4 linked regions of the Notamacropus eugenii genome follow. The protein of the gene in region 2 interacts with the protein of the main gene of each other region in a pairwise test. Links are inferred from orthologs where the notes say so. Each region holds a gene or a part of one and is shown on either strand. Other genes may lie near its edges. The genes, in order: LDAF1, COQ8A, TMEM239 and SH3GLB1.

Region 1 (6,932 bases), on a different chromosome or scaffold from region 2:
TACAGGTAAAGGGGTATAGAAAGTTCTCTGGCCCTACAGGACAAAAGAGAAGATGGGGACAAGGGAAGGGAGGGATGATAGAAGAGAGGGCAGATTGGTGATAGGAGCAATTAGAATGCTCGGTGTTTTGGGGTGGGGGGAGGGGACAAAGGGGGAGAAAATTTGGAACCCAAAATTTTGTGAAAATGAATGTTAAAAGTTAAATAAATAAATAAATAAATTTTAAAAAATAAAGGGAAAATTAAAAAAATTAGCTATTAAAAAAAAAGTTTGGAGGTGACAGTGACTGGGGAGGGGATGGTTTGGAAACAATGAAGGGATTCTATAATTCAAATTGATCTCACTATCTACAAGCCACTGAGATAATGCCCAATTGTTTCCTTGGGAAGGATGGGGGAAGTGGAGGGAATATTTATACTCAAGGGTTTAGTTCCCAGCTCTTTTGTAGGTCCACCAATAAAAAATAGTTTTTCAACTTTCTATTTTGGTCCCATAGTATAAATTACGTTAGCTTTTGTCTTAGTGATACTTGAAGATGCCAGAGGACACCAGAGTTGTGAGCAGATGAGGAAGAGGAGAAGGCAGGCAGTTTTATCCTAACTTGATATCATCTACAAAAGAGGGGTAGGGAAGGGTAATAGTTAAAGAGTTTGCCACTCAAAGTTATTGTGAGGATTAAATGAGATAATTATGCAAATGTACTATGTGTCAGTTATTCTTATGAATGTTAATTAAAGTGATCCTACAGAAGAGAATAAATTAGACTGTGGGTTTGGCCCCTCAGGGAAATACAGAGAGGCAGCTTAAGGTTCAGTTTCTGGAAGAGTTTCCTAGAAGGATCCAAAAATGACTGTCTTGGGAAGTCATAGGACCATGGGAATTATTGATTTAACTATGGAAGGCACTTCAGAGATCATCTTTTCCAGGGTTCTTAACCTGGGGTTGGTGAATTTGCTTTTTTGTATGTAACTGTTTTTCAATATAATTAGTTTCTTTGTAATCTTTTTAAAAATTTATGCATTTAAAACATGAGGTACACAGGCTTCACTGGACTGTCAAAAGGCTCCATGACACTAAAAGGGTTAAGAACCCCTGATCTAGTCCAACCTGAAAATGGTGGCCCAGGGAGATTAAGTGATTTGCTTATAGTTACACAAGTGAGCAGAAGGAATATCTGAACCAAAGTCCTGCGTCTCCAGAGTTGGGGCTCTTTTTGTTATACCACACTTCCTCCAATGGCCATTTATTGAGCATCCAGTTCAGGGGATTTTTTTGGGGGGACAAAGTTGGACAAGATGATTGCTGAGCTCCCCTTCAGCCAATGGTGTATTGGCAAATGTTTAATAACTGGCTCTCAAAAAAAGAAAAAGTGTGTAGGACACACTTTTAAGGTTAATCTTAACATTAGCACTTTTCTCTGTTACTTTCTTAAGTTTCAAATGACAATCAACAAAACAATAAATTGATCCCTGATGTGTAGCATTTGCTGATTTTTGAGGGGGCAAAGGCTCATGATAGAGTGATGGGACTCGACCCCTAAAAAGGAAAAGACCATGTCTTTGAAAACAACCCAGTCCCTGAATTTTCCTATATATTTCAATAGGCCAGATCACTGGCTCCTCTGCCCAAAGTATAGGTCCCCCAGCACACCTAGATCACTTAATTAGTTTACTTAACTGTCCTTTCACTATCTCTCAGGGCCCACCCCAGAATACCTAATATTCCTTTCACATTTGCTGACTGGCCCAACCCAGACCACTTACCACTCCTTAATTCCATCCAGATCCTTTAACTGCCTTTTTTGTATAAAAATCACTAGTCTTACCTCCATGAAGTTGCAGTTTCTAAGAATCTTGCCTGCTCCCATTACCTTACTATCAACATTGTTTTTTGACTGGAAGAACATTTGAGTGTGTGAATTCATTCCAGGTGGATGCCACCTTGCTGCCTGACATTTCACACTAGAATTTTAACGATCTGCTCTCATGTTATAGCTGGCTCCAGTACAACCTTGCTTCTAGCTTTAGAGCTATGATTTTGTGATATATAACATTAATAGTTAATAAGTGTGGCCTCTACTTCTCCTGTAATCAGTATATCCAGGGCCTTGAGTGTATCACTGACCTTCTCTGTCTTCACAAAAATTTAGGCAGAGAAACTAGAGCACAGCATATCTTGGCTTTAGATAAATCTTATCACTTTTCTTTGGAGATAACCCCTTTTACTCAGATTAGGCTTCAGAATCTTGGTACTTTCATCGAAAGCACCACACTTGTCCAGTGTGATTCAACACTTAAAGTAAGGTGTGAGTAAGATAATCATCCTTTTGGTCCCAGTGTACCTTCTATCTTACATTCTAAGGTGTTGGTGGTAGGAGAGAAGCAAAATACTAAAGGGAGAAGGGGAGAGAGAAAGTACTGATATCGTGGCCAATTTTAGAATTCTTTGTAAAGAATCTTTCCTCCCCAGGAGGGAACTGGAATGGGCCTATCCCTAAAATGGAAATCTGTCCCCACAAATTTCACACACACACACACATACACACACACACATACACACACACACACACACACACACACACACACACACACACACACACACACACACACACACACACACACACACACCCTTTCTCCAACTAAGTCACGGTCATAGGGACAAAGTCCAGGAGAATCAGAAGTATAGGAGAGAGGGAAATTATAACAGAAAGAAAACTTTCTTAAATATTCTTGATTCTTATTATATTCTTAATAATACATTAATTATATTATTCTTAAATAAAATTATATATGAAATAAATATGAATATTTATTTACATGCACATAAATAAAATATTTAATATTTTTAAAGATAACTTAAGTTCTATTACCACCAAATATCAAATAAGGTTTGTAAAGCACTCAGACTTCATGATCTCGATTTGTCCTTATGACAATGTAGGGGTGAAAGTGTTATTATTATTTCACAGACAAGAAATTGAAACTTAGAGAGGTTAAGGGACTGGCCCAATGTCACATGGCTAATAGGTGGTGGAACTCAGATCTCCTGGCTCTTAGGTCTAGTGTTCAATCTATGAAAGGACGTCGTTTCTCACTAAACCACACTGAACTCATCTGCTCATATATAGAGAAGCAGGGGGATGTTGTGGAAAGAGTTTAGGATCTGGAGAAGCAGTGTGGTGTCAAAATGACGGGGTGCTGGACCTAAAGTTTAAATCCTTTATTCCATATCGATGCTTTGTGGATCCATGGTCAAGACACAAGGGTCCCAGTTAACAATCGTCTCCTACCCATGTCTGTCTTTCAGGTGACCCCTTCTTATCTTTCCAGTCTTCTTACACATACTCTGATCCAAGTGCTGTATTCAGTAACATTGGCCTCTTGGCTGTTCCTCAACCATCATGACTGATTAATCTTCAGACTCCGAGCGCTTTCACTAGCTGTCTGCCCTACCTGGAACGCTCGCCTCCTTATCTCTCCTGCCTAGTTTTCCAGGTTTCGTTCAACTCTCACCTAAAATCCCGCTTTCTGAAATAAGCGTTTTCCAGCCCTTCCTCTTAGTGCCTTCTCTCCGAGATTGCCTGCAGTTTACTCTGTCTTTACCTTGTTTGTGTCTACTTTCCCCCATTGGACAGTAGTAGGTTCCTTGAAAGCAGGGACTGACTGTCTTTTGACTTTCTTTGTATCCCCAGAATAGGTGCGGAAAGAGCATCTCAAGGCTCATATTTCTCCCATTAGAGATGACTTCCTTTAGGGTCCTCCTCTGCCCTCCCAAGAAACCAAGTTCTACTCATAGGAAGATGTTAGTGAGTTGTTTGGTTCTCTGGGTTCGCTCCCAGAGCCCAGCGGGGAGGGGCTCAATAAAGACGCCGCAGAATCCCTGCCTGTCCGGCCCTGGACCGTCCCAGCCCCGCTGCTCCGCCGGCTCTCGCTGTCTCCAAACCTCTCCGGCTTCTCCTTGCGCTCTCCGCCACCGCGCTGCGCCCCGACTCCGGCTGCCCACAGCTCCTGCTAACTGACAGCTCCAGGCTCGGCTGGAACTCCTCTGCTGGCCGGACTGGAGAAGACCCTGGGGGAAGGGGCGGTGCCGGCGGCGGGAGGAGGATCGGGCGGGGAAGGGGCCGGAGAGAAGCCGAGGCCGGCTGTCACCCAGCTCCCGCCCCTTCCGTGCGTCTGCTTTGGCTCGGGCTTCTCCTCCTCCTCCTTTACTGTCTCCCCGCCTCCTGTCGCGCGCCACCGGGGGCCCTCGGTTCTCTGCTCCGCTGGCCGAAGCGGGTGGGCAGCGGGGTCTCGGACAGCTGGAGCTGCGGAGGGAATCCGGATCAGGTGAGAACCCCGGCTATCTGATCCCGGCAGGGAGGGAACCCGCGGAGCTGCGAAGCGCTGGGTGTCTCCACCCCTCTTCCCCACCCCCAGATCCAAACAAAACACACTTTGTGTTTAGGGAAAGGGTGACTGCGCCCTCAACCCCTTCTCTCTCCCTACGACCCTAAAGGGAGCCTAGGATCTTTCCACTCCCCAACTTTCGGGGCTCCCTGGGAAGGGAGAGGCCTGAGCTAGGTCTGAGGTTTGAGGCGGAGAAAATAATGGTATTTGAGGATCCAACAAGGAAGAAGTACAGCAGGCAGCCCTGGTTCTCCTTTCTCAGTTGGAAAGATCCCATTCCTACTCCAGTCCAGTCTCAGCCCTGAGCTCTGGATTAGAACGTTGTTGGGGTGACAGTTTGGACCCCCAGTAGATAGAGTGGGGGAGAGAAGGAGGCAGTGTTTACTTTCGGGCTCAGGAGTGAGAGTAGGATGTCAGCTTCCCTCCTTGAACTTATGAAATGTGTCAAGAGACAAATTGGTAAGGCCTTGTATTCTCCCTGTGGGGGCTGGGTGGTTGTTGCCTGAGGTACCTGCCGATTCCTTCTTTTTGGATAAAATGGCCTAGCCAGACCTTCTTAACCTGGAGTTCATGAAATTTTTATCCTATACATGCATGTATATAACACACTTGTATGTAGCATATGCACATATGCCTGTGTTGCATGTATATATTTCTATGTTATCTACAAATATATAAACGTGTATATATGAAACTATTTCACTATGTTTCCTTTGTGATCCTATGTATTTTACTTTATGCATTTAAGAACATTCTTCTGAGAAGGAGTCTATAAGCTTTATTAGATTACCAAAGGGGTCCTTGACACACAAAAAGGTTAAAAATAACCGTATAGATATCAAAGGTTGAGTAATAAGGGACCCTAGAAACAGGAGTTGGTGTTGATACAAATGGGTGTTGGGACAAATGAGCTTGGTGACAGATGGGGGGAGGAAAGCTTCATTGATGTAATCTTTCCGATTTCTCAGCTCCTGAAGAAAGTGGCCTGGGGAGGACAAGGCTGCCTATAACAGAAATGAGGTACACAGAATCAATAGAATGCCCCTAAACCTGGATCTATTGTTGAAGAATTGTTTTAAGCAGACCTGAGTTGAAAATCTAGACTTGATGCGTTAAGATCCGTTAGAAGGGAATATTTGCTTTATATAATGTTTTTTGCTGTATTTTTCATTTACTGTACCAAATGTCTCTAGTACTTATGGAATGTAATTTTATTTGTAGAAATGCACTTTATATGACAGGAATTCAGTAAATACTTGTTGATCAGTAGCTCTTAGGAGTTTATTTACTTTGTAATGTTAGATACAACCACTACCAAATCTGGCTTTTTGATATGAAAGGGCTTTAGGAATCAAATAAATCTTGAATAAGCTTGGGAACTGCTCAAGTAGAAAAGGTCTTGAGATAAGATCATTTTCTGGTCGATATTACAAACTAAGCAGGTGACTTGGAGATAGGAAGAAAGAGGATGAACATGGTTATAGCCTCAGTTCACCTTTATACCATTTGGGTTTGAAGTCAATTCATTTCTTAATGGATATGTATTGAATACCTACTGTGAGGCTAGCATAGTACTGTGGGCACAATCAGTTTTTAGAGATATTGAGAAGACTGAGTACATAGAGCAATTAGAACCTAAATTCAAGACAATATAAATACAGTTCTCAAGTATGTGGTATGTATCGTAAATAGTAGGGGGAGTCTAGAAAGGTCTAGAAAGAAAGATCAATTTCACTGGGAATTGTCAGGTTCTTCATGGAGGAAAGTAGATTATGCTCAGCAGCTACAGTACGTTGATCTAATTTGTTACAGACCCTTAATTGATTAAGAATTACCTTTTTTCCCTTGCTTCCAGCAAGAAGTAAACAGAGACATGTGAAATACAAAGTTGGGTTATTTTGTTTGCCTGAAGAAACTTCAGCAGGTAGGAAAGAAGTATGGTGAAAATGGAGGCTTCCTCTATATCCAGAGATTTGCAGGAGCTGCAGAAGATGTTGACTTCCTTGATCACTTTCATCCAGAGTAACTCCGAGGTGAGTGTGAATTATCTGCAGGCTGCTTAGAGCTAGAACATGACCCTTTATCATGGGATTTAGAATAGGAAGGAATGTTTATACATCATCTAAACCACTGGTTCCCAATGTTTTTTTGTTCCATGTTGTTTCAACAACCACAACAAAAGTTTGTTGTAAACTCCTCCAGGATAATTTTAATATGCTACTCATAATATTCTATAATTATTTACTATCTCAGAAGGCATTAAAGAATTTTTAGTATGAACTTGTTGGACCATAGACTCAAACCACCAGTGGGGTTTGCAAACCACTAAATGAGAACCACTGATCTCATCCAACCCCATCACTTTACAAATGAGGAAATTTAATCCCAGAGAAGTAGCAAATATAGTACCAGATTTGAACCCAAGTTCTCTCATTTCAAATCTAATGTTCTTGAAACTATGTGGCTTGTAAATTTTTTTTTCTTATTTTATAGGGTAAGTCTTTGTAAATAAGTCAGCACCTTTCAAATGAGGGACCAGACCTATTA
Region 2 (6,980 bases):
GGTTGAACAAGTTGTGGTATGTGAATCTAATGGAATACTACTATGCACTAAGAAATGATGAGCAGGCAGATTTCAGAAAAACCTGAAGATTTACATGAACTTAATGAAGACAGCAGAACCAGAACATTGTACACAGTAACAGCAATTCTGTTGGATGACCAGCTTTGATAGATAGGTCTTCTCACCAATGCAATGATCTAAGACAATTCCAAAAGACTCATGATGGAAAATGCTATCCACATCCAGAGAAAAAAGTATGGAGTATGAATGCAGATCAAAGCATACTTTTTCTCTCTCTGTTTTTTTCTTTCTTGCAGTTTTTCCCTTCTGTTCTGATTTTTCTTTCACAACATGAGTAATATGGAAATATGTTTAATATGACTGTACATGTATAGCTTGTATCAAATTGCTTGCTGTCTTGGGGAAATAGGAGGGTAGGAAATTTAGAACTCAAAATCTTATAAAAGTGAATGTTTAAAACTAAATAAATTTATTTCTAAAAAGAGCATCAATAAAACATTTACTTAATAAAAAAGAAATAAAAAGGATTGTAAAGTAGAATAGCATGACAGAAGAAAGAGCAGTGGATTGGGGAATCAGGGTACCTGGATTCAAATCCCAGCTCCTCCACTTACTACTTGTGTACCACAGCCAAGTCAATTAAATCCTCTGGAGCTAAGCTTCCTCTTTTGTAAGGTAAGAAAAATGGACTACAATAGGGGTAGCTAACCTGAGTTCCATGAACTTTAAAAAAAAAAATCTGATAACTATTTAGACGTAATTGGTTTCCTTTTTTCGCTATGAAATTTATTTTAAACATTTAAAATGTTAAATATCTAAAATCATAGTCTGAGAAAGTTGATCTATAGGCTTCACCAGACTGCCCAAGAGATCCATGACACCCAAGAAAAGATTAAGCAGCACTGGAGTAGATGAAATCCCTTCCATCTATAATCTATGATCCTAAGTGGGTGCAAAGACAGCCAACCTTCTCACTTCTCTTGCAGGATACACAAGGAAGGTTATGTCAATAGTAAAAATAACTGTCTACTGTTCATTTTTCCCCTCATTTCTTAAGACTTAGCTTAAGTGTTCCAGGCTCTTGGTTCAACCCATAAGGAGTGATTTGTCTCCAAAGGGACATTCCTGCCACACTCCGAGTCAGTCTTTCAAGCCCCTGCCAGCTCAGCCTGTCCTTTTACAGCATGACAACCAGCAGCTTGGCATTTTCAAGTCCTCTGGCCAGAAAGAAGCCCTGACAGTCACCCTTTGCCAGTGCTTCAATCACGAATTTAGGGGGCAGCTGGGTATCCCAGTGGATAGAGCAAGGCCTCCAAAAAACAAACAAGCGTTCAGGAACACCTATTTAGAAAGCCCTCGAGGCATGGTTTCCCCACTAGACCCCGTGGGCAGGCAGGTCAAGCATTTCCACTGCCCAGGCTAAGAGGCTCCGCATTCTGCCCAGACTTCACACAACTCTCAAGCCTCAGGGCCAGGATTCTCCCAATCCCACATCCTGGGACCTGGCAGAGGATGGGCCAAAGGCAACACAAGGCCAGCCTAAGTCTACACCTAAACCTCCAAGGGCGAGGAGTGCCAACCGCCAGGCGTCCGGGCAGGGCGGCACGGGACTCTGCCCAATGGCCGGCAAAGTTGGGCGTGGAGGCGTGGATGAGGCGTGGGCACGGCTGGCGCGTGGAGGGCAGCTCCCGCAGCCGCGCGGACACCTCTTCCCCCCGAAGCGCCCCGTCCTCCCGGGCTAACCCCACCCGGGCTGGGCTTCACCTCTCTGCAGGCACTGAAGGTCAGAACTAGCCCTTGGGCCCGGGGCCAGCGCGCTCAAGAATCAGGACTCGGAAAAGGCAAACAGGGGTGCGGGGCAGGAACGAGCCGCGCCGGGGCTCGCCCACCGGCTGGGGCGGCAGCGCGCTCCAGGGCTGGGGCTCGGAGCCCGGACCCTGCCGGCCGCGCTCCGCTCCGGCGGACGGGATCCACAGGGACCGCCGGGTGCTGAGGTCCGAGGGGGCGGGAGGGCGCGGAGGCTGCGGCGGGGGCTCTCCATGCATGCAGCAAGTGCGTGGGGCTGCCGCCTTACCTGGGATTGGGGAGGTGGGTCAGCAGCCCGCCTCCGCCTCCGCCTCCTGCAGCCGCGCACCTCCCGCTCAGCGCTGCGGTCCGGCACGCGCTCGAGGTATGTTTACCAACTCTCCAGCCGCGCCGCGCGAGGCCCTGGGGCGGCCTAAGCACCGCCCCCCGCGGTCGCTCCGATTGGTTGCGCCGCTTCCTCCTTCGGAACGTGGGCCCGGGCAGCCTTACAAGCCGGAGCTTAGAGGACCCCTTCGAGCCCTGAGTCGCGAACCGTGCGCCGCGCCGGGGCTCCTGACGCCTGGGCCAATCGGGAGCGAGAACGGAGAGACGCTAGACCAATGGGAGGCAGCTCTTCTTGGGCCGCTCCCAGCCCCTCCCCCACGCTCATTGCTCCTCCCACCTCCCTGCTCCCTCTTCGGTCTGTAAATCTGGGTAGGCCGTTTGCTTGGTGCAAGGGCTGGGGGGCGGGGCATTTCTCACTCTGCCTAAGGCCTGTGGCTTGCTCGTCCCCGCGGGAAATGGTGCTAGCGGCCATGGTCGCCAGACCCCCCTCAGGGCCTGGCCTCAGGCAAGGGGGGGGAAATGAAAAAGACTCGGGCCACTCCCGGGGAGCCGCAGCTGGGCCTCTCTCCACTGCCCGCCCTTTCTCTCCTCCCCATCCCCCACCGCATTCAGCGTACCCCCCAGCCTGCAGTCCAACCCTGCCCTCCCTCCGCGGCCCCCAGCCTTTCAGCCTTACGTTCTGCTCCACTCGTGGCTGCTTCTCCGGGGCCGCCCCCGCGCCTTCCTCCAGCCCCAGCTCAGAGGCCGCCCGGTGCACGAAGCCCTTCCTGAGGGCCCGTCACGCTCTCTCCAGCTCGCCCCTCTGCGCGCAGTTGTTTCCACGTGGTCCTCCTTGTTAGATGGCGCCCCCCTTCGGGGCGGGAGCCGTCCTGGGCCCTTGCTCGTGTGCGGGCGCCTCGTCCAGCGCCCGGCCCGGAGGTGCTCGTTAACTGTTGGCTGGCCCGTGTGAGAGCCGCGAACAGCCGGCCGCCGCTTGTCCTACCAGCCTTGGGTCTCATTCCCTCTCCTCATCTTGTGGGTGCTGTTTGACCCCCGATGGGGTCGTTCTTCCTAAACATCAAAGCACAAAAAGTGATGCGAAGGGCCTTGGCCCAAGACTCTTCCCTTGGAAACAGGCTGTTCCAAGCCCGGAGTGACGGCCCAGCGGGCCGGGATGGGGAGGACAGGATGCGTGTATCCATTCAGTGTCGGGCACGTGGCCCCTGCCCCTGGAAGCGACCCTTCGCAGGCCAGAAGATGGAGCCGAGGGGGTTGTGGCTGTTTTCAGGACCCCCTGTGGGGTGCCCCGGACCATTTTACAGAGGAGGAAACTGAGACAAAGAGGGTTACGCGGCCAGATGTGAACTCCTGAAGATGTCTTCCTGTTTCCAAGCCGCTTGTTCCGTCCACTTTATCCCCTAGCTGCCCCAAGGAGAAGGGGAGGGAGAGCATTTCAGATGGCAGCAGAGGGGAGGAATAAACAGCCTCCTTGTTCGCTGTTGACTTCCTCTATCCCCTTCCCTTGCTCAGCCTCAGAACTCCGTCGCCTGCACCAAGTAAGCAGGTCTGTAAGGACTCCGGGCCCGTCAGGGATGAAGGGACACCGGCCCGAGTAGCGGTGTGACGTGGGGAGAGTGACCTGCTTCAGACTGAGGGGGCTGCGTCCTAGGAGGAGCCCTGGGGTTCACAGGTGCTCCACCCCACCCACCAACCTGAATTGAGAGTGACTACTGCTTCTCTCCCAGTGCCCCCTCATTAACTGGTGGAGGGCGATGACTATTAAGAGGCTGGCATTAGGCACATCCGAAAACGCCTGAAAGAGTGTGTGTGAATTGTGTTCTCAATGTGTTTAAGTAACAAACGCATGTGCGGTGGTTACACTCCACCAAAGGCCTACCTCATTGAGTTACCGTGGTGTAGAGGTGACCCTGGATTCTAGACCTCACACAAATATCGGTGTCATTGAAATTCTCTTGTACAATCCCTGGAAGGTCCTGCCCACTAGCTGGAAACCTTTCAAGTTAACTACTTTTAGAGGGCTAGCTGGGCAGGGACTCACCCCCAGGAGGAGAGATAGCAGGCGTAGATGGATCTGCCTCACTTGGTAGCTGTCAGTGAGTCAGTAAGCATTATCTGCTGCCTTCTAAGTGACAGGCGTTGAACCAAGTGCCTAGGATACGAAGAAAGACAAAAGACAGTTTCTACTGCAAGGAGTTCACAATATAATGGAGGAGACAAAATGCCAAAAATAAATACAAAGCAGGCTTTATACAAGACAAATAGGAAGTAATCAGCAGAGAGAAGGTACTACCATTAAGGGGGATCAGGAAAATAAAAGGCAAAATTTCTATAAAAGATTTTAGCTGAGATTTGAAAAAAGCCAGAGAAACCAGGAGTTAGGCTTTGCAAATCTTGAAAGGTTAGTAACAAGTGAGTTATTATTACTATATACACAGGATCTTTTTTTAAGCTCCTGAACATCTCCAAAAGTTGGTTCAGTGGTCAGGATTGTGCCATTTCTGTCTTCTTCATAATGTCATTGGAGGAACACTCACATTAAAAAGACTTAGGTTTCAGTGCTAGTTCTGCCATTAACGGGTGATGTCATCTTCACCTCTAAGGTCCCTTTAAGCTCTAAACAATAATGAAGATAGTAATAATAATAATTGGCACTTATATAAGCACTTTAAAGTTTGCAAAGGTACTTTACAAATATTTTTATTTTGTCCTCACAATAACTCTAGAGGGTGCTATTATCCTCATTTTACAGATAGGAAACTGAGTCTGAGAGAGGTGAAGAGACTTGGTCAGCTAATATGTGAGGCAGGATTTGAACTCAGATCTTTCTGACTCCAGGTCAGGCAGCTTTGTACTTTATCCAGTATCCAGCCATGTAACTGCCTCTGAATACTGTGATCCTATGATCTTAATTCTGGTTAGCTTTTTTGCATTGTCATTTCCTCTTTATAAATGAGGGAGTTTGACTAGAGGACTTCAGTAGTTATTCTTCCAGCTCTAGTGTTATGCATACTATAAAATCTGAAGAGTGAGGAACTAACACCATTTTCATTTTTGTTTTGAGTGTGTGATAAGCAAATCTAGATGTAGACAGACCGAGCAGGCAGCACCAGTTTCAGAATTTAGCAGGCACCAGGGCCAATGCACAAAAAGATGGTTCATTTCCTCCAAGAGCAACCCCCTTCTGGAATATTGAATTTTGAAAACCCAACATAAACAGATCACATCTTTGAGGGCTAAGGGTATAGCCTACTCAGCCATCCACTGACTAAGCCCTGAGGAAAGTCCAACCCAGGCTGGGACTTGATGGACTGCCAAACCTAATAACATAAGAGTAATCCCCAGTACGATGGGAAATGATAAGCACAAAAGTAATAATTTAGTGGTCTGAACCTGGGAACATCTCAGCATAACCCATGAACAAGCTCTGTTTTCTGTTTTTTCTTCAGAATTCACAGCCAGCTCATTTTATCAGAACTGGCATTCAAACCCAAGTTCTTTGGATTGCCAAGTCCAATGTTCTGATAGCTCATATTGAACGAATAAATGGCAATCCAGTTTACAAAAAGCTTTCTGCATGACACACCTGTGGAATAGCACAAAACATTTTATGGATGAGGAAACTGAGGTTCAGAAAGTTTAAATGACTTGTACACAAGGTTATGAATGGTAAAATCAAGACCTGGATAGAGACAGAAGCAAACAGAACGAGGAGACAAAGATTAGCCCAATTTGTCTGGAACATTCAGTTGCTGAGCAGTCTGGTAAAGTAGTCTTTCTTGCTTTTAGGATTTCATCAGTTCCAGCACCAACTTCTTTGGCATGTACTATGTTTGATTCAAGTATTCTTCCTAAGGGCCGTCTCTACTTCTGAGTAACCCATCAGATATCAAGGTTCCAAGGACCAAATGTTCCTCTGTCACTGATGATGGAAATAGCCTGGCACCAGGGGCATCGCCCTTTCCCAGATACAACATCCAGAATAGCTACCCCAGCTCCAAGACACTGTGTAGGTCCATATCCATACAAAATGATAGCTCATAAGCCCCCACAAATGTATTTGTTTTCCTTGTAGTCAGCCAGAGGTCACAACTCATTTAAACCAAAGATATTTAAAGAAGTAGCAGGCAAACAATCAAGAAACACTAAGTGTCATGCACTGTGCTAAGTGCTAGGGATACAAAAGAATAGTAAAACTAACTAAATAAATGAAAATAGACCCTCAAAAGGTAACTGAGAGAGCATTAATAACAACTGAGCCACATGTCTACTTTTTGATCTATATAAAATCTATATGAGAACAACCAATCATCCCCTCTCATTCTCTAATCCTCACGCTCTCCCTACTGCTCCTCTTGGTTTCTTTTCTACTAACTTTAAACATGCCTTAGTCTTCCCTTAAAAAAACTTTCATTAGGCCCTCTAGTTATTGTCATTTATTTCTCTTCTCTTTCTCATTCAAACTTTAGATATTTACTTATCAGTTATTTATACTCACTGCCAGCATTTCCTTCCCTCTCCTCTCTCTTCCTTATTAACCCTTATCAACCTGGCTTTCAACCTCAGACTGTTTTGGAAACTGCTGTCTCCAATCTTCCCAAAATTCTCTTCGTTGACAAAGTTGATTTTTTTTCCTCAGTCCTCATCTTTCTTGACCTTTCTTCTCCATTTGACTCCATTTGACCACCTTCTCCTCCTGGATACAGTCTCTCCTCTGTGTCTTGTTGTTTGCCCTTTATTCTGTTCCCAAAAAGGACCAGTGACTTCAGTGGAAGTGATGTCTTGACTTGCAGGTGAACTGGATTTAAGTGAAGCCAGGCTGTTCAAAGTCA
Region 3 (7,805 bases), on a different chromosome or scaffold from region 2:
CAAGCCTTCTCCCGCCCCCGCCTGGTCCGTTGACCCCTCGGTTCTGGCCCGCTGCATCGATCCGGTGCACCTGCGGGGGAGTGGTAATGGGAAGGGCTGTGACCCCCAAGCACCTAGTGAGGAAGACCGGCGTTCGGAAGGCATCTATGCGAAGCAGATTCCCAAAGATCAGGGAACTGAATGAAAGCAAGAGGGGCAGGTTATGAGGCCAAGGTACCTGGGGAGGATCTCAAAGCACCTACCGGAAGGGAATGGTAAAGAAAGAGGCATGTCTGAAAGAACTTGAGGGAGAGCTGAGTGACAGCTGAGTCTCTAAATTTGAGCGGGCTTGATTCTAAAGCCTTCGGGGAATAAGGGACTGGAAGGGGTTGATTCTAAGCCATAAGGAATGATCCTAAAGCACCCTCTAGGGAGAGGTTTATGGTCCCAAAGTATCCAGGGAGTGACAGGAAGTGATCCCAAAGTAGTGAGGTTCAGGAAGAAGGAGAAGAGAGAGAAAGGAGAAGATAGGAAAGGGAAAGGGGAAAGAACTTTCTGGTAATGAAATGCCCTGGGGGGAATCTTGCTTTCTTGGAGGAGTAGGAGGGAGGAGAAGTTTCATTAGTTTCTTGGACACACCAGGGTAGAGGAGGCTGAGGGAGCTGGGACCTCTTGGGGCAGAGCTGCTAGTGGCCAAGCCCAGGTGTGAAGAAAAGGTCATGATTTGGCCCCTGGCTGGAAGCTTGGAAAAAGGGCCTGTACATGACCTGGTCTCAGGATCCTCACCTGGAAACAGTTGGCATTAGAGGTCAGGGAATGAGAAATCCCCAGGTCTTTCTTGGAACCTTACTTGTCTCCAACCACCCAGCCCTAAGTTCAAGATCTCTAACTTGGGGACCTTTAGAAACATTTGGTCAGTGGAGAGACTTGGAGGCAAATCTAAAGTGTAATCTGTAGTGTTGTGAGTGTGTGTGTGTGTCTGTGTGTACAGAGGAGGATCAGAGAGCTTAGGGAGAATCAAGCAAGAGGAAAGGAGGGAAAAGTAAAAGCTTTGGGGCTCCAGGGCAAAGGTTCCCTGGTTCTTCCTCTGAGGCAGGAGTCAATGAAGCCTGAGAAACCAAGGCTGAAGGCTGAGATTTTTCATCTTTTGTAGACTTCTAACCTAGAGCAACCACCCTACATCCCTGTTGCTGCTGGGGTTAGTTGAGAGTTCAGAAGTTTTCCTCCAATGTCCCATCAGGGAGGTGAACCAGGACTCTGGAAGACTAGAGAAGAAGAAAGCAAACCCTCTCTAGCAAACCGTGGAGAGGCTCATCACCTGAGAAGGTTGGCCAGGGCTTGAATGTTTGGGAACACAGCAGTCTAAAGGGACTGTCTATTAAGGTCTGGGTTGCAGTCTGTATCAGCTATATCAGCAGAGAAAGTAGCTACAGATCCTTAAAGTATTGGCAGAAACTTGGAACCAGGCCCCAGATGACTGGGAAAGCAGATGAAAGAAAAGGATTTCACAGACAGAGGCTAGGGAGAGGTAGCAAGTGTAGACTGGATGTAATGTCTAGCCATTGCCTTTACCTCTCAATATAGGTTTGCTCTGATACTTCTTTCCTTGATGACTTGTCAGACTCTGATTGGGCTTTGTTCCTTGAAAGGCCAAAATGTAGGGAAAACCCAAGGACTCAGGATAAACCACCCACTAGCTGTTCCTCCAGGGATCGTGGGGTTTTGGGTTCCTAGAAACTGATTAAACTACTCTAAGAAAGCAGCATTTCATTACAGAAGTTGAGACAGAAGAGAATAAGGAAGGAGACAAGGGAAGAGATGGGAGGTAGGAGAGTGCACCAAAGAAGGGACCAAAGACATAGAAAGGAAAGGGAGGAGTCAGGAGGGTTGAGAACTAGGGAAGTGGGTCCAGGAGAGGATAGCAGAGATGGGTATCAGGGGAGTGAACAAGAGAGGGGAGAAGAAAGGAAACCACCAAGAGAAAAGAAGTGTAAACCTGACAGATAGAAGATGGGGTTGGGAAGGGGACAGAATCATAGGATATAAGAGTGAGAAGGGGCTTTGGGGGTGTCTCTTCCAACCTGTACTGAACAATATTCTCTCTACAACATGGCTGACAAGTGGCCATCCATTCAACCTTTGCGTGAAGACTTCAGATTAGAACTCACCATCACATCTGGATAGCCCTGATTTTAAGAAGCCTTTCTTTATGATAGGCATGCATGGATGACTTGTGATCCATACACATGGATGAGAATGGATCCTAATGGGGTCCCAACATGGGACAATCCACATTGATGAGGATGGATTCAATGGAACGTTAGCTATCTAGCCGTTACTCCCCTGTCCTATACTAAAGAAACTGATGTGTCGAACCTAATGTGTAGAACTTTATGTTTATTCTTATTAAATTCCGTGTGCTTAGATCTGGGCCCACACTTAGGACTGCCTAGAGTCCTGTGTGTCCTGACCTTCTCACCCAAGGTTAGCTATCTCTCTGAGCTTCACACATCATCAGATTTGATAAAAATGTTAAATAGCACAGATCCCTGGGGCACTTGGCTGGAGATAGAAACCCAAGTCCACAAGGACTGCTGAATGACCAAAGGTTCCCCCTGCCGAATCCACCAGTTTTATCACCTAGCAGCTTCTTTCTGTGTTGGCCCCAGGGGTCCCATAAGAGACTGTCAAATACTTTGCTGGAGTCTAAATATATCTGTATACTTACAGCATTCCTCTCGTCTAGACGGGAAGGGACAATGGCAAAACAAGGCAAGGGACAGGAAGACACAAGACAGAGGACAAGGGAGGAGGCAGAAAAGAGAAAAGGAGAAAAGAGTGAAGAGAGAGGAGAGGGGATAGACCATAGAGGGAATGGAAAGGGAGAAATACACCAGAGCCATTGTGGGGCTAGGCTTACCTCCCAGCACAGCAGCCTTGGTCATGTCGCCACCGCCAGCTCCCTATACAGAGCTGGGAAGGAATCCTTGCAACCTGGCTCCCGGCCTCCCCATCTCCACCCTACCCCTGGGGCCTCATTGTGACCCGGGCTTTGGGGGAGGGGTAGGACAGTGCCAAAGAGAACCCAGCCCATTGGACTCCGGAGTCCAGGCTCTAGGCCTTGTCTTTTTTCTCTTTCCTTATTTAGGGTCCAGGAACCAACATTCTTTGGCAAAACAAAACAAAGTATCTTTAAAAAAAAAAAAAAGAGTTTGAGTCTTTTGCCCACCAAAGGCACAAACTGTCAGGAACCTCCAGACAGAAGGGGTTTTCTGAGCCAAGATCTAGCTTTAGTTTCTCCCTTAGTAAAATGAAAGGTTTGGACTAGATGAATATGCTCCTTACTTGCTCTGTGATTTTGTGTTCTCCAAGGAAAAGAATTTCGCCTCCTCTTCCCTGTCTCCCCTACTCCCTGGTTTCTAAATGCCTCCTGGCTGAAAAGCCTGCCCAAGGTCTGACCTACATCCTTCTTGATATAGTCAGCAGGCTGAACCTGAACCTGCCATAGAATTCTCTTTCCACACCCTCCCTCCTCAGAGATCATAAACCAAGGCCGGCGCTGTCTCAGGCCTCTGCATCTCCCTGTTCTCCCTAACCTCCTATTCTTCTGCTAGGATTTAAGTTATTGGGGGCTATACCTTCTGCCCCATGACCCATGACCCCAAACTCTTAGACCCTTAAAATTCATGGAATTTTGCTACTTTTTCCCTGTGTCCTGGTGAATAGACCTCTTTGCCTTCCTGGGTCTTTCTTTGCTCCCTTACAAAATGAGAGGATTGAATCAAATGATCTCTAAAGGCCCTTTTGAGCTACAGATTCTAAGATTCTGATTGTGTGGCTGAAAGGATCAGATAGGCTCCTTACAGCACTATTGGTGTTAGACACTTATCTAAGGGTCCAAGGTTTAGGCTACTGAGTAGAATAGGGTCTACTCTGACTTAAGAGTCTTCTATATTGGTTTTTCAAACCCTGGGACCTGGAATAATTTAGGGTCTTCTTTCCAGACCACTCATCCTAGCCTAGAGACAACCAGAAAGGAAATTCAGAGGCAGAGGCTGGGGCAATCCTCATGTATTTTCTGTGAAGAGAATCTTTTAGCCTGCTGATTCCTGGAGAGCGGAGGCTTTGCTTCAGGCCAGAGCCTTTAGGCTGACTACAAGGCTGAAGATACTGATGGGCATCAGGGCCCCAAAAATAAGCCCTAGAAGGGTGAAGAGCAGGAATCCATCCAGGACTTGGCTCAAGGCAGGTGGGAGCAGTGGTTCTTGCAAGCTGGAGCCTTCGCCCCCTGCTCCTGGGCCAAGGGGTCTAAACATTGGTCTTTGAGGCAAAGGCAACTCCGGAGTCCTACAAGGAAAGGAGAACCTAAGGTGAGACTTAGGCCAAAGAGACCCTCTCTGGGGCAGAGAGACCCAGGAATCCAGTGTGCTTACCCATGCATTAGGTCAAAAGTCAGGAAACTCATCATTAGTAACAGCAGCAGGAAAGCTATGCCTGGTCCAGCCAGGGCCAGGACAAGGCGAGCACCAAGTCCAAGTATACCGGCGCCCAGGGCCCCATCCAAGAGTGTGAGTGAACTCCTCAAAGGCATACCATGGCCCTCCAAAAGCTCAGGACCCTCGCCAGCTTCTAGGCCCCGGCCCATTCGATCTGTAATGACAGGGATCCTGGGGAAATAGAAATAAGAGATAGGGATGGGTAAGGCAAGATGAACACAAAAGAATTCCTTTTTATTTTTTTAAAGATGTTAGGAAGTTGAAAATTCAGGAGCAAAGAACTAGGGAAAATTCTGAGGTGAACAAGTCAGACATTCATAGAAAGAAAGAGGCAATAACAGACAACAGAGGAGAAGAAGAACTCCTCAGTTCTTATTTTGCTTCTTTTGTTCCTATCAGGAAGCCATGATCTTTGGAATGGAACAGGCCAAAATGAGGGAATAGGGATAGGAATGCAGACGAAGAGAAAGAGAAGTGGAGGAGAGAGAAAACAGGAAACAAATCAATCTAACAGAAAAATACTGATAGAGCACCCACTATATACAAAGTGCTGCATGAAGCACTGGTGATAAGACATGTGCCCTGCCCTCAGGAAGCATATAATCTTTTCTAAAAATTATTTTTAACATTTATTTAAAAATAATTGTAGTTTCAAATTCTCTCCCTCTCTCTTGTTTCTTCTCCACCCATTAAGAAGGCAAGCAATATGGCATCAATTATACATGTGAAATCGCGCCAAATCTGTTTCCATATTAACCATGTTGAAAAAAAGAAAAGCAAGAAACACAAAGAAAGTGAAAAAAAGTATGTTTCAGTCTGCACTTGGAATTCATCAGATCTCTCTCTGGGAGTGGAGAACATTTTTCATCATGGGTCCAAGAAGATAACAATCTAATGGGGAGATAGGAAATATATACAAGTAACCATGGTCTAAAGGAGGAGTAGATAAGACCTAAGAGGTCCAGGCAAAGTGACACGAGAAATTTGATGAGGAAGAAATCATTTTCCTAGGGATGAGGGAGAAGAGATTAGGTAGGCCCCATGAGTTGGGTCTTGCAGGAAGGAAATAGAACTGGGGCAAGGGGGTGTAAGTTGGAGGGAACAGCTACTATAGCCAAAGACGTTTCTCCCTTAGGATTCAATGAGGTGAATTTTCTAGGTCCGTATGGAGGATTTGTGGACAAGAGCTTGACTTCTCCTGATAGGCCACCATCATGCCTTTCCACGCATTTTCTGACACTGCTTGGATAACAATGGTGCACTTAGAGAGGAATGAGCTGGGGCAGGGTTTGAGGAAAACGTTAGAGTTAAGGTTGAGTTTGATTTGCTACAAGAACAACTTTGTGGAAGATGTCCAACAGGAAGAGATATGTAACTAGGGCAGGGTGACTGAAGTTCTGCTCCAGGGTGCCAATATTTAGAGGGCACTGACAGCGTTTATATTCATTCAGGAGCATAGAAACAATGGTACTTAGTATCTTGTTAGTAAGAATCATGATTTAAAATAGTAAGTTACCAGGTGGTCCCTTTCTCCAGTTTACTAGGTCTTATTGTATCTCAGATGAGCCTTCCCTTCAGGCAGTGGTCTCCTCAGCAACAACTTCTTAGTATCCTAGATCTGTCACCTGATAACCAAATTTGTCTTAGAAAGTTTATTTGATACTATTTCATAACACTTTCTCAAGGCAAAAATTGCTAGTAATGTCTCTGCCAGCGGGACTAGAGCTCAAGGGAGCTCTCAAGGATGACTATAGATATGGGTATCATCTGCACAAATGCATGTTATCTATGAAGAGATGACAATAATGGAGCCAGAGAAGTAGATGAAAATGTCTAGGAAGAGACAGAGAAAGAAGAGGGCTAAGGGGATCCCCGGATCCTGGGGAAGACTTGAGTGTAAGAGGAGAAAGGAAGATGTAGAGCCAGTGAGTGGCTCATTTCCCAAAATGTGTTCTTTAGAATTGAATCTAATACTCCAGATATGATCATGGGCAAGGGCATTGTCAGGAAGGGCTTTTGCCTCCCATGTTCTAGATAGTAAGCCTCTATTTATGAAGCCAGAGACAAGGGAATGATCAGAGGGAAAGGAGAAAAGACAGGAGAAAGCAGCAACACGGAAAAGAAGGGAGAAAAGGGTATCTGGAAGGAGGGGGATAGATAATAATGTAAAATGTGGCTGAGAAGCCTGAGGGGATCATGCAGATATTGTAGAGATAGAAATAGTGACTTGAGGAAGAGAAATGGATGAGGGGGAAATTAAGGCAGAGATGGGAAGATCATAGATTCATAGTTAGAAGGAACCTTAAAGGTTATGGAGTGTAATCTCTTATTTTATAGATGAGGAAAATGAAGCATAATGATTTGCCCAAAGTCATACAACTAGTAAATGTTTGAGGCAGGATTTGAATCAGGTCCTTTTGAAGCTTAAGTCCAGGGTCTTGCCCATTATAGTAGGCTGCCTCAGAGATGAGAAGATAATAAAAGAAATGATTCTGGGGGGGACAGATGAGAAAGGAATTATGGAGACGGTTGGAGAAGAGACAGATAGACAAATGAGACTGAGGAGGCAGGGGTAGAGAGGTGGAGATGGAGGAGACAGGGTTAGGAGACAGGAATAGAGGCACAGGGATGAGGGAGAGAGAAATGGGAAATTGGCGACCCAAGAAAGAGTTAAGAGACCTTGTGGGGAGCATTTCTGGGGAGAGTCAGGGATAGAAGGAGTTTGGAATATAGGAGGAAATAGGATGTCCTGAAGGAGCTAACCAGAGATGAGGAGATAAGAACCCTGGGGAGGAAGTGGGGGACAGAAGTGTCATTGTCAAAACCCAGTTAAGGTAGGACCTAAAGTTATGAGGAAGAGGACAATGAACTCAAGACAGCTGGGGCCTGGTTTGCCGGCAGCCCTAGAGACATCAGATGAGCTCCTTGCCAAGTACAGAGAGCAAAGAGCGTTCTGGGCCAGTTCTGATGGAACATGGTCATTACTATGGAGTCCTGTGTTCCTTTTCTCCCTCCCCAACCTCCCCACTCCTCACCTCCTCCCTATCGGGCCTGCCATTCTGGGGACATAAACTGCTAGGGGAGAGGGAAGGCATTATGACCTGTGGAGTAGGGGCTACTGCAGAGGTCATCTTCCCCCCAACCCCGCCCCATATACACATAATAGCTGTGACCAAACTCTCTTTGGACTAGCTTGGTCTGCAATGATGCCCAACCCTGGGTAGTGGGAGAGAGGGGGAAGTATAGAGAAAGATTTCCCTGATCCCTTTTGCTCCATTTGTAACCATTGGTTCTAAGGACCATTGCATGGGACTCATTGCTCACCTGAAT
Region 4 (8,000 bases), about 87 Mb from region 2:
TGTTTTGTCTAAACAATCAGGCACAGTATTTTCAATCTCACATGAAGTATGGTCCCAAGATCTCTTAACTCTGAAAGGTGGTAAATTTTATTCTTAAGGTAATGGATCCAGCAAAAGTGAAAAAAAAAAATTTAACTTGTTTACGTTGATTTAGCATAATACTTCAAAAATTATTCTTGAAAAGTAAGTCAAAGTTATTGTTACAGAATGGTATTAGTGAAAGGTAAGATAGACTTGAGTATAAATAAAGCTCACAAAAGCTCTCTTCCCTACTTTCTTTAATCACCACTTCTTTAAAAGCATACTATCAACACTTCTAGACTTTACCGTCTGTCATCTGAAGTTAGGATAGTAAATTCCAGTTGTGTCTCCTTAGGCTACCACTCTATACAAACATATCAGACCCAGTCACTCCAACTGGAACTGAGTATGTGGAGGAAGACATTAAATATAGACAGAGATTAAGACTGCTTTTGGCACTTAGAAATTGGGCCAGTGTACAAATTGACCTGGTAGGCACCTGGAATTCTTATTTATTGAAGAGAACATCCCAATAGTCAAGCCTTTTTAATACACAAAATACAGCCTGAAATTCTCCCTGATTCTTGCGCCAGTGGAAAAGTATTCCTTCTCTTCTTAAATTTTCTTGCACGATAAGGCCATGTATTCTTACAAGGAAAAGGGTCAAGTTCAACTTTTGCTACTTACTTCCTGTATGTCTTTGGGTAAGTCATTTAATCTCTGCTGGGCCTTCACTTTCTGATCTGTAAAATAAGGAGGTAGGCCCAAGACACCCTACTGTGCATTCCAGCCCAACTCTTTGATCCTAAAATATGGTTCCATACCAGACCTTATCTATAATCATTATTTATGTACCTGTCACATCTTTCAAACCAGTAGAATAAAAAGTTCCTTGAGGACAAAACCTTTTTTATCCTTTATATCTTCAATAATTACCACATAATAAATGCTTAGTTAACATTTGCTGATCTGAATAATGAATAAATTTGACTTGTCACTGACCTATTTATCAGGTAAACTTTATAGAAACAATGAGTAAAATTCCAACTGAAATTAGTTGGATCAGAAGAAGTCTCCTGCTTTTAACAGAAATAGTGTTATTGGCAACATTTTAGTGGCCTAATGTAAATTTCTCAGTGAAACTATAAGATTCAAATCCCAGAAAGACTAATTAAATAATACAAATCAGACAACATAAACGCATGAATAATCCTATTGGCACCTTGTTTTAGGAATGTAAGAATACACCTTGGAAGAACTAGACTGTATTTATCAAGTATCCACCACCCTAAAGAAGGAAAATGTTTTTATAGGTATTAAAGGAGATCAAAACATAACCAATGACACAAGTTCATTCATTTATAAAATGGACAGCACTAAGTAGAATTAGAAATGATCACCATAAATTTAAATTTACTCCAAGTTCTCAATCACTTCTGGTTGTAAAGATGAACACAGAAATTTACTCAACCAAAAAAGAGTCAATTTCAAATTATGACCTTTTGAACTGTGGCTAATTTTTTAAAAGAAGATGTTTTCACTAAAACTCAGCGTTACGGTTTAAGGGTATCGTCAAGAGTCACACATAAATTTGTTATCTTAGCGATAAAAATTCTTTTTAAGGTATTTAAGGGAGCAATTGCGACAGTAGTCCTGGTAGGCTTTGGAATCTCGAGTGTACCTCTTGTTTTTTAAGTGCACCTTTCTTAAACCGTGGTAGATCTTTAAAACGTGGGTGTGAGATGGTTTCCAAGAACGTTTAGTTCTACCCTCCTTCAAGGCCGAGGCTCTCCAGGTGAATCCCGACTGCCGCTTACACAGCAGGGGGCCCTGGGCCGGCTTCCCCCGGGCAAAAGGAGGGCGTTGGTCCGCTCGCCCCCGCCAGCTACACCTCTATCCCCCAGATAAAGCAGGGAGGCGACTCCCCTGGCCGGCCACACCTCTCCGGCTGGCTACCCCACCTAGCCTACTCCCTGCTTAACCAACGGTCCCAGAGGAGAACCCAGGACCCAGAGCAGGCTCCCAACCTGCGGGCAGTTCGGTGGAGGTCCTGGAGCCCCTCGGGAAGAACGTTTGTTAAGAGGCAGAAAAATAAACGCGGTGTAACAAAGGAAACCAGCTATCCTGAAGCGGCCCGAAAACGCATCCTTTCCAAAGTTCGAGGACCTCCAGTTAGGACTGGGGCCAAAGGGAAGGCCGGCGAGGGAGCGCCGGAGCGAAGGGGCGCCGGGCCGAGGGGGCGCCGGGCCGAGGGGGCGCCGGAGCGAAGGGGCGCCGGGCCGAGGGGGCGCCGGGCCGAGCCCAGCACGGCCGCGGACCTGACGCGCCTCTGGCTCCGTCCCGGGGGAGTTCCCGGGGGAGGCTGGGGCGGGCCGCGGAGCCAGCCCCGGGGCGCCCCGAGCTCGGCTCCCGGGGAAGTGACCGGCTGGGGACGCCGCGGGCCGGGCCCGGGGTCCTCACCCCGTGGGGCTCCGGACCCAGGGCGCGGCTGGAGCTGCGCGTTTCGGGCGCCTCCCAGTGCCCTGGGGCCCGGTGGGGGCCGGGGGAGGTCAGGAGGTCAGGTCCCGGCTCGGGCCTCGCTCTTCCCGGGTCTCGCGGCCCGCGGGGAGAGGAAGAGGGCGAGGCCACGGTTCCTTCCGTTACCGACCCGCCCCCGGCCTGGCTCGGCCCGGCTGTCAGCGGCGGGAGGCGGGGCCTCGGGGAACGGGCCGCGGGCCTCGGCCTCCCTCCCGCCCGCCCCGGCCCGGCCCGCGCGCTACCTGCACCGCGCGGCTGAGAAAGGTGCCCGCGTCCGCCGCCAGCTTCTTCACGCTGAAGTCCATGATGCTTCCGCCGGGCCGGGGTCGGGGCCGGGACCGGGGCCCGCAGCCGGAGCCGGAGCCGGAGCCGCAGCCGGAGCCGGGCGGAGCCGCCGCTGCCGCCTCACAGGGAGCAGGGAGAGGAGCCGGGAGACGGGGGCGGGGCCCGGCCCGGGAGAAGAGAGGACAGCAGCCAGGGGAGGGGAGGGTGGGGGAGAGGGGGAGGGCGGGGCCTAGCTTGGGGAGGCGGGGAGGGGCGAGAGAGAAGGCGGAAGGAGCGGCCGGGGGCGGGGTCTAGCGCGCTAAGGAGGAGAAAACGAAGGTAAAGGAGGGATGACGGAAGAGAGGGATGTGAGCGGGGAGAGAGGAGAAGAGGAGGGGAGGAGAGGAGGGGGCGGGGCTTAGCTCGCCTAGGGGATGAAAAGGAGGGAAGGGGAGGGGAGCGAAAGGCGAGGGAGGAGCTTCGAACAGGGGTGGGGCCTAGCTTGGGGAGGTGGGGAAGGGAGAGGAGGGGAAGTGAGGAAAGAGGGAGGGACAGACTGAAGAGAGACTGGGAGGGGGCGGGGCGGAAGGAGAGGGTGGGTCCTAGCTCTCTAAGGGAGAGAGAAGGGGAGGGGAAAGAGAGGATAAGGACTGGGAGAGGAGGAGGGGCGATCAGGGAAGGAGCGGGTCTGGCCTCTCCTGGGAGAGGGGAGAGGAGGAGCTAAGATTGGGGGCGGGGCCTAACCTGGGATGGGGAGAAGGCGAGGAAGGGGCGGTGCTTGAGGGGGCGGGGAAGCAGAGGAGGGACGTGGCTCTGGTTAGAGAGGGCTGGGGGTGAACGATGCCCGCACGCCCAGCTCCCCCGGGGGTGGGAGGCCACGGCTTGGGGGAGGGCGCGGTGGGGTGGCGTGAGTCCCACCAAGGGGGCGCCACGAGACACACTCCCATAGATGACTGACCAGAGAGACGCGAGGCCAGCTAGGCCAGGAGCCCCACGGGGAGTGACACGGAGACACGTGGAGTGGGGGGGCTCCGGGGAAATGATGAGCCAATGGCAAAGGGAAAGGGCCGAGAGACGGGGTCGAGGAGAACAACTGGAGAGTGATGGCAGCGGGGCACGCGGTGCCCGCGAGGGCCTGGGCTAATGTGCGTGAGAGGAGGCGTGGGTGAAGAAGGTGTGGGAGGCAAGGGGGGGTTCCAGTTGTTGGGACTTGTGTCTGAATGTGGTCGGAGCGAGGGAAGAGCGGCCAAAAACGGCCAAGGGTTTGAACCTGGGTCCTTGGAAGGATGGCGGTGCCCAACAGAAATGGGGGAGTTCTGTTATGGACATGTGGAACTTGAGATGCCAGCGGGGCATCGAGAGACCAGCAGGCAGTTGGAGATGCAGGACTGGTGGTTTGGAGACAAACAGAGCGTGGCCATCTGCATGGAAATACGATAGTTGGACCCAATTATAATTGAAGAGTGCCCAAGTCAGAATGCGTACAAAGGGAAAGGAAGAGTCCCCAGGAACAAGCGGCCATCCAGCCTTTGTTTGAAGACTTCCAGAGAAGGAGAACAGATTGCCTCCCTAGGGAGCACATTCTGCTTTGGATCATGTGTAATAGTTATTAAAATTTTCTGTCAATTTATCCTACATCAGCCCTTGATGACTTCAGTCCATTCCATCCAGTTCTGCCATCCAGGGCACAAGGAGTCTAAGTATTTAAAGACAGGACTGTCGTGTGCCCCTCCAGTCTTCTCTGCTCCAGGCTAATCACTTCCAGTTCTTTTCATTGATCCTTATGTGGCATGAACTTGGGCCTTTCACTTTCCCCATCTCCCTGTCTCCAGAGGTTCTCCAGCTTATCATTGTACTTAAAATGTGGCATCCCTAACTGACCCAGAGATAGTCTGATCAGGGCAAAGAATAGCCTCTCAATGCATCCTAAAACCCTAAACTTCACCCTCCAGAACTTGCTGGTTATTTGACTAGGAGCAAATCATTGAACTGCAGTTTCCTTACCCTTAAAATTGGTATTCAAAGTAACCATCCCAGGAGGTTATTGTGAGGCTCAAATGGCATTATGTATGAAAAGGAGTTCACGAAGCTTAAAGTCTTGTCAAGATGGCAGCTATTTCTTCCTTTTTTTAAACTCCAATCTCAGAGATGGCTTGTACTACCTGGCCAGGCTTCCCTTACCTTCTACTTGTTTGTTTGTCTGTTTGCTTTGGAGACCAAATGGAATACTTTACATTTTATCCTATTGCATTTCTTTGTAGTAGTTTTGACTGAATGTTCTATCTTGTAATACATGCTGGTAACTGAGCCCTGTGGATAATGGCTGACTGTTTAAGCTATGTTGAGACACACAGGCACAGAAGCACATCAGGATAAGTGAAGGTCAGGAGCCTTGTGATACAGAGAAAGATGCAAGAATGAGCTTCAAGTAGTTGGAAACAGGCATGGACAGTCAGGTAGCTGGATTTATAAAGCACATTTTTAATAAGTAGGAGATTTGGGGGAAATTTCTGCTCATATCACATATTTGCCACATACAGTCAGGAGATAAGACTATTACACTTTAGGGAGAATGATAAAAGTTAAGAGAACTAAAATTGGAAGAGATCTTAGAGACTGTCAAATTCAAATTCCATCTTTGTACCCATGAAGAAATTCAGACCCAGGGAGTTTAAGCGACAGTGAAAATTCAGACTCAGTTATCTCTAATTCAAGACACTCTTTCCATTGGTCTGCTGCCCTCTGGACCATGGACTGAGGGTTAGTATCTAGAAAAGGTTTCTCCCCTGATGACTTCCATGCTTGTCCTGTGCCTTCAAATTACAAACAAAGGTACACAAAGAAATATGAGGGCCAGGGTCAACTACAGGTGTTGAGAGATATTAGATTAGATCAGTCACATGCAGCCTTTAATGGAATAAAAGGTCATTCTTCGAAACAGGTTCAAGTTGCACCCAGCTAAGGTGGAAAAGGAGCAAGAACTGCCAGTTCCTCCTTATTCTTCCTCAGCATTCCAAACACTTTAGCAAGTGCCCACAAGAAAACACAGTCTTATACCTGGCTTATACCCACAAGAAAACACAGTCTTATACCATGCCTCCTCTGGGCTTCATCTCTCTAGGCTCCCCAGAAGCATGGATTTGAGGAGGGTAACTGTAGATACCATTGCTTCTAGCCAAGTAGCTCAGCTACTCCATAAAAACAAGAGAAACGTCCCACAACCTCCCTCTTCTCTCCATGTTCTTTCTCCTTTTTCAGGTGCCCTGCTGCATCTCTCCTTCCCCCCCCCCCCCAATTCTCAAATTGCACAATACTTCTTTGCCTCAGGAGATGAATAAAAACCTTAAAATACCTGAATTCTCTACAGATCCATACCATTCTTCCTCCCTCTAAAGTAGATGTTACATTATATAACACATTAGTATATGTCCCTTTGTAAAAAATGAGTTGACATCATCAAGTTAATATTTGGGAACACATCAATGTAGTGATAGTAATATAACATTCCCTCCCCCCAAAAAAACCTGGCAGAGTTACCCCCTAGAATCTTGAGAGGAGTAGTAGTCAGCTGCCCTCTGGGCACACAGCCTGCCAATGAGAGTGAGACTTGGGAGTAAGCCCAAAGGAGATGCTTTAACAGTACAAATTACACTAGAAGGACAAATATTTGTGTGCAGGACAAAGAGACCCATCTCACTCTCCTGTCACATTTCCCTTATAGCAACCAGTTTTATCACTGAAGAGTAATTTGGTTTTCCCTACCCACTATACAATCCTTAGAGTATTTTCCTGCTTACAGAATCACATTTTCTCTCCCCTCCACGCAACTACAAATGATGAAAAAATCCTGTTATATCTCATTGCATTAGTGAGATACAGGGTAACTACTGGTAGGTCATTTAGTTGATTGTGGCAACTAACTAAATTTTTTTTATTAATTTTATTTTGATGTAACAGATACTTCCTAAAAAACTCCCAAATGAACCCTCCCACAAAATACACTCCCTGAGGAGTACTTTTCACTTTTGTAGGTTACTGATTATTAACGAAAGGAAGGATCTGTGCTTTAGTATTAACAGCTTGGTACCTATGCTATATGTTGTATTTGACCTTTCTGTTGCCTTTTAGTTTTGCCTTTATATTGTGTAATCATTGTGTGTATTGCTCTACAGGAGTGAATAATCTAGGATAGAACCTTGGGGAACACCACAGTTTAGAGGTGTAGTATGAATGGTGACCCTGCAAAGGATATGGACAAGGAGTTGACAGGTAGGGGAGAACCAGAAGACAGTCATGTCAAAAAATTTCAGAGTACACAGGAGAAGAGGATGGTCACTATTGCCAAGGTTGAATGGGATGAGGACTAAGGAAAGACTATCAGATTTTGCAGTTAAGAGATTATTGGTAATTTTGCAGAGAGCTATTTCAGTTGAGTGATGAGGTCAGATGCCAGATTGTAAAGGGTTGAAGAGTGAGAAGAAAGAAAAAGGAAGCAACAAGTACAGGAAGCTTTTTATAAGAGTTTGGCTGAAAAAGAGAGGAGAGCTGTTGAATGACAGCTTGAGGTAATGTCTAATGAAGGATTTTTTGTTTTGTTTTGAGAATGGGGGAGACTTGGCCATCCTTAAAGGTTATAGGGAAGAAACTGTAGCTAGAGAGAAGTTGGAGATTTGAGAGAGGGAGTTCATTGAGGGAACAGTGTGTTGGGGACAGGAAAAGACAGGATCAATACATGTACAGGTCTTGGCCTAGGTAAGAAGAAAGGCCACATTATTGTTAGAGAAGGTGGTTAAAGAAGAGAGAGTGGGAGATGATGTCAAGAGGCTTTGAAATGAAGAGAAGGGGTAAAGGAGGAACACATGGTAAATAGCCTCAGGAACGTTAGAGGCAGGTTCTTCAGCTGAGAGGGAAGAAAACTTCTGAGTAGAGTGACATTATATCAATTGTTGGTTGTGTTTGTCCTTTTTTGAAAAAGACCATACCATCAGAGAAATAATGACATGACTTGCACTTGACTTTGTTTTGAGTGAGGGAGGGCTGTGCAAGTCACCAGCCTCACTTCTCCTCCAGAGTCATCTGAATCCAGTGACCAGATATTCATCAGGATGACTGGAGACAGCCGAGGATGAGTAAATTAATTAGGGAGGAATAAAAGAATTGCTTTGCTTTGGTGAAGATTCTGTTGCAATTGGATAACT

Evidence for each region.
Region 1: the proteins of COQ8A (region 2) and LDAF1 interact in binary tests that used the Homo sapiens proteins (3 or more experiments, as listed by UniProt). The two-hybrid records come from large-scale screens. The link is inferred for Notamacropus eugenii from reciprocal best matches to the Homo sapiens genes COQ8A and LDAF1.
Region 3: the proteins of COQ8A (region 2) and TMEM239 interact in binary tests that used the Homo sapiens proteins (3 or more experiments, as listed by UniProt). The two-hybrid records come from large-scale screens. The link is inferred for Notamacropus eugenii from reciprocal best matches to the Homo sapiens genes COQ8A and TMEM239.
Region 4: the proteins of COQ8A (region 2) and SH3GLB1 interact in binary tests that used the Homo sapiens proteins (3 or more experiments, as listed by UniProt). The link is inferred for Notamacropus eugenii from reciprocal best matches to the Homo sapiens genes COQ8A and SH3GLB1.

What each region holds. Positions count from the first base shown.
Region 1 is NC_092874.1:397,978,476-397,985,407, reverse strand, and holds the start of LDAF1 (lipid droplet assembly factor 1), read left to right. Parts: upstream 1-3,914; 5' UTR 3,915-4,325; intron 4,326-4,425; exon of another isoform or gene 4,426-4,844; intron 4,845-5,353; exon of another isoform or gene 5,354-5,405; intron 5,406-6,240; 5' UTR 6,241-6,322; coding exon 6,323-6,418; intron 6,419-6,932. UniProt on the Homo sapiens protein: Plays an important role in the formation of lipid droplets (LD) which are storage organelles at the center of lipid and energy homeostasis. In association with BSCL2/seipin, defines the sites of LD formation in the endoplasmic reticulum.
Region 2 is NC_092873.1:409,108,968-409,115,947, forward strand, and holds the start of COQ8A (atypical kinase COQ8A, mitochondrial), read right to left. Parts: upstream 3,003-6,980; 5' UTR 2,828-3,002; intron 2,191-2,827; exon of another isoform or gene 2,096-2,190; intron 1-2,095. UniProt on the Homo sapiens protein: Atypical kinase involved in the biosynthesis of coenzyme Q, also named ubiquinone, an essential lipid-soluble electron transporter for aerobic cellular respiration.
Region 3 is NC_092877.1:46,440,256-46,448,060, forward strand, and holds the start of TMEM239 (transmembrane protein 239), read right to left. Parts: upstream 3,012-7,805; 5' UTR 2,900-3,011; intron 71-2,899; 5' UTR 58-70; coding exon 1-57. Other genes in the region: C6H20orf141 (uncharacterized protein C20orf141 homolog), read right to left, coding at 4,110-4,326, 4,413-4,646, 7,511-7,533.
Region 4 is NC_092873.1:496,315,661-496,323,660, reverse strand, and holds the start of SH3GLB1 (endophilin-B1), read right to left. Parts: upstream 3,002-8,000; 5' UTR 2,844-3,001; coding exon 2,781-2,843; intron 2,634-2,780; exon of another isoform or gene 2,482-2,633; intron 2,222-2,481; exon of another isoform or gene 2,049-2,221; intron 2,000-2,048; exon of another isoform or gene 1,703-1,999; intron 1-1,702. UniProt on the Homo sapiens protein: May be required for normal outer mitochondrial membrane dynamics. Required for coatomer-mediated retrograde transport in certain cells. May recruit other proteins to membranes with high curvature. May promote membrane fusion.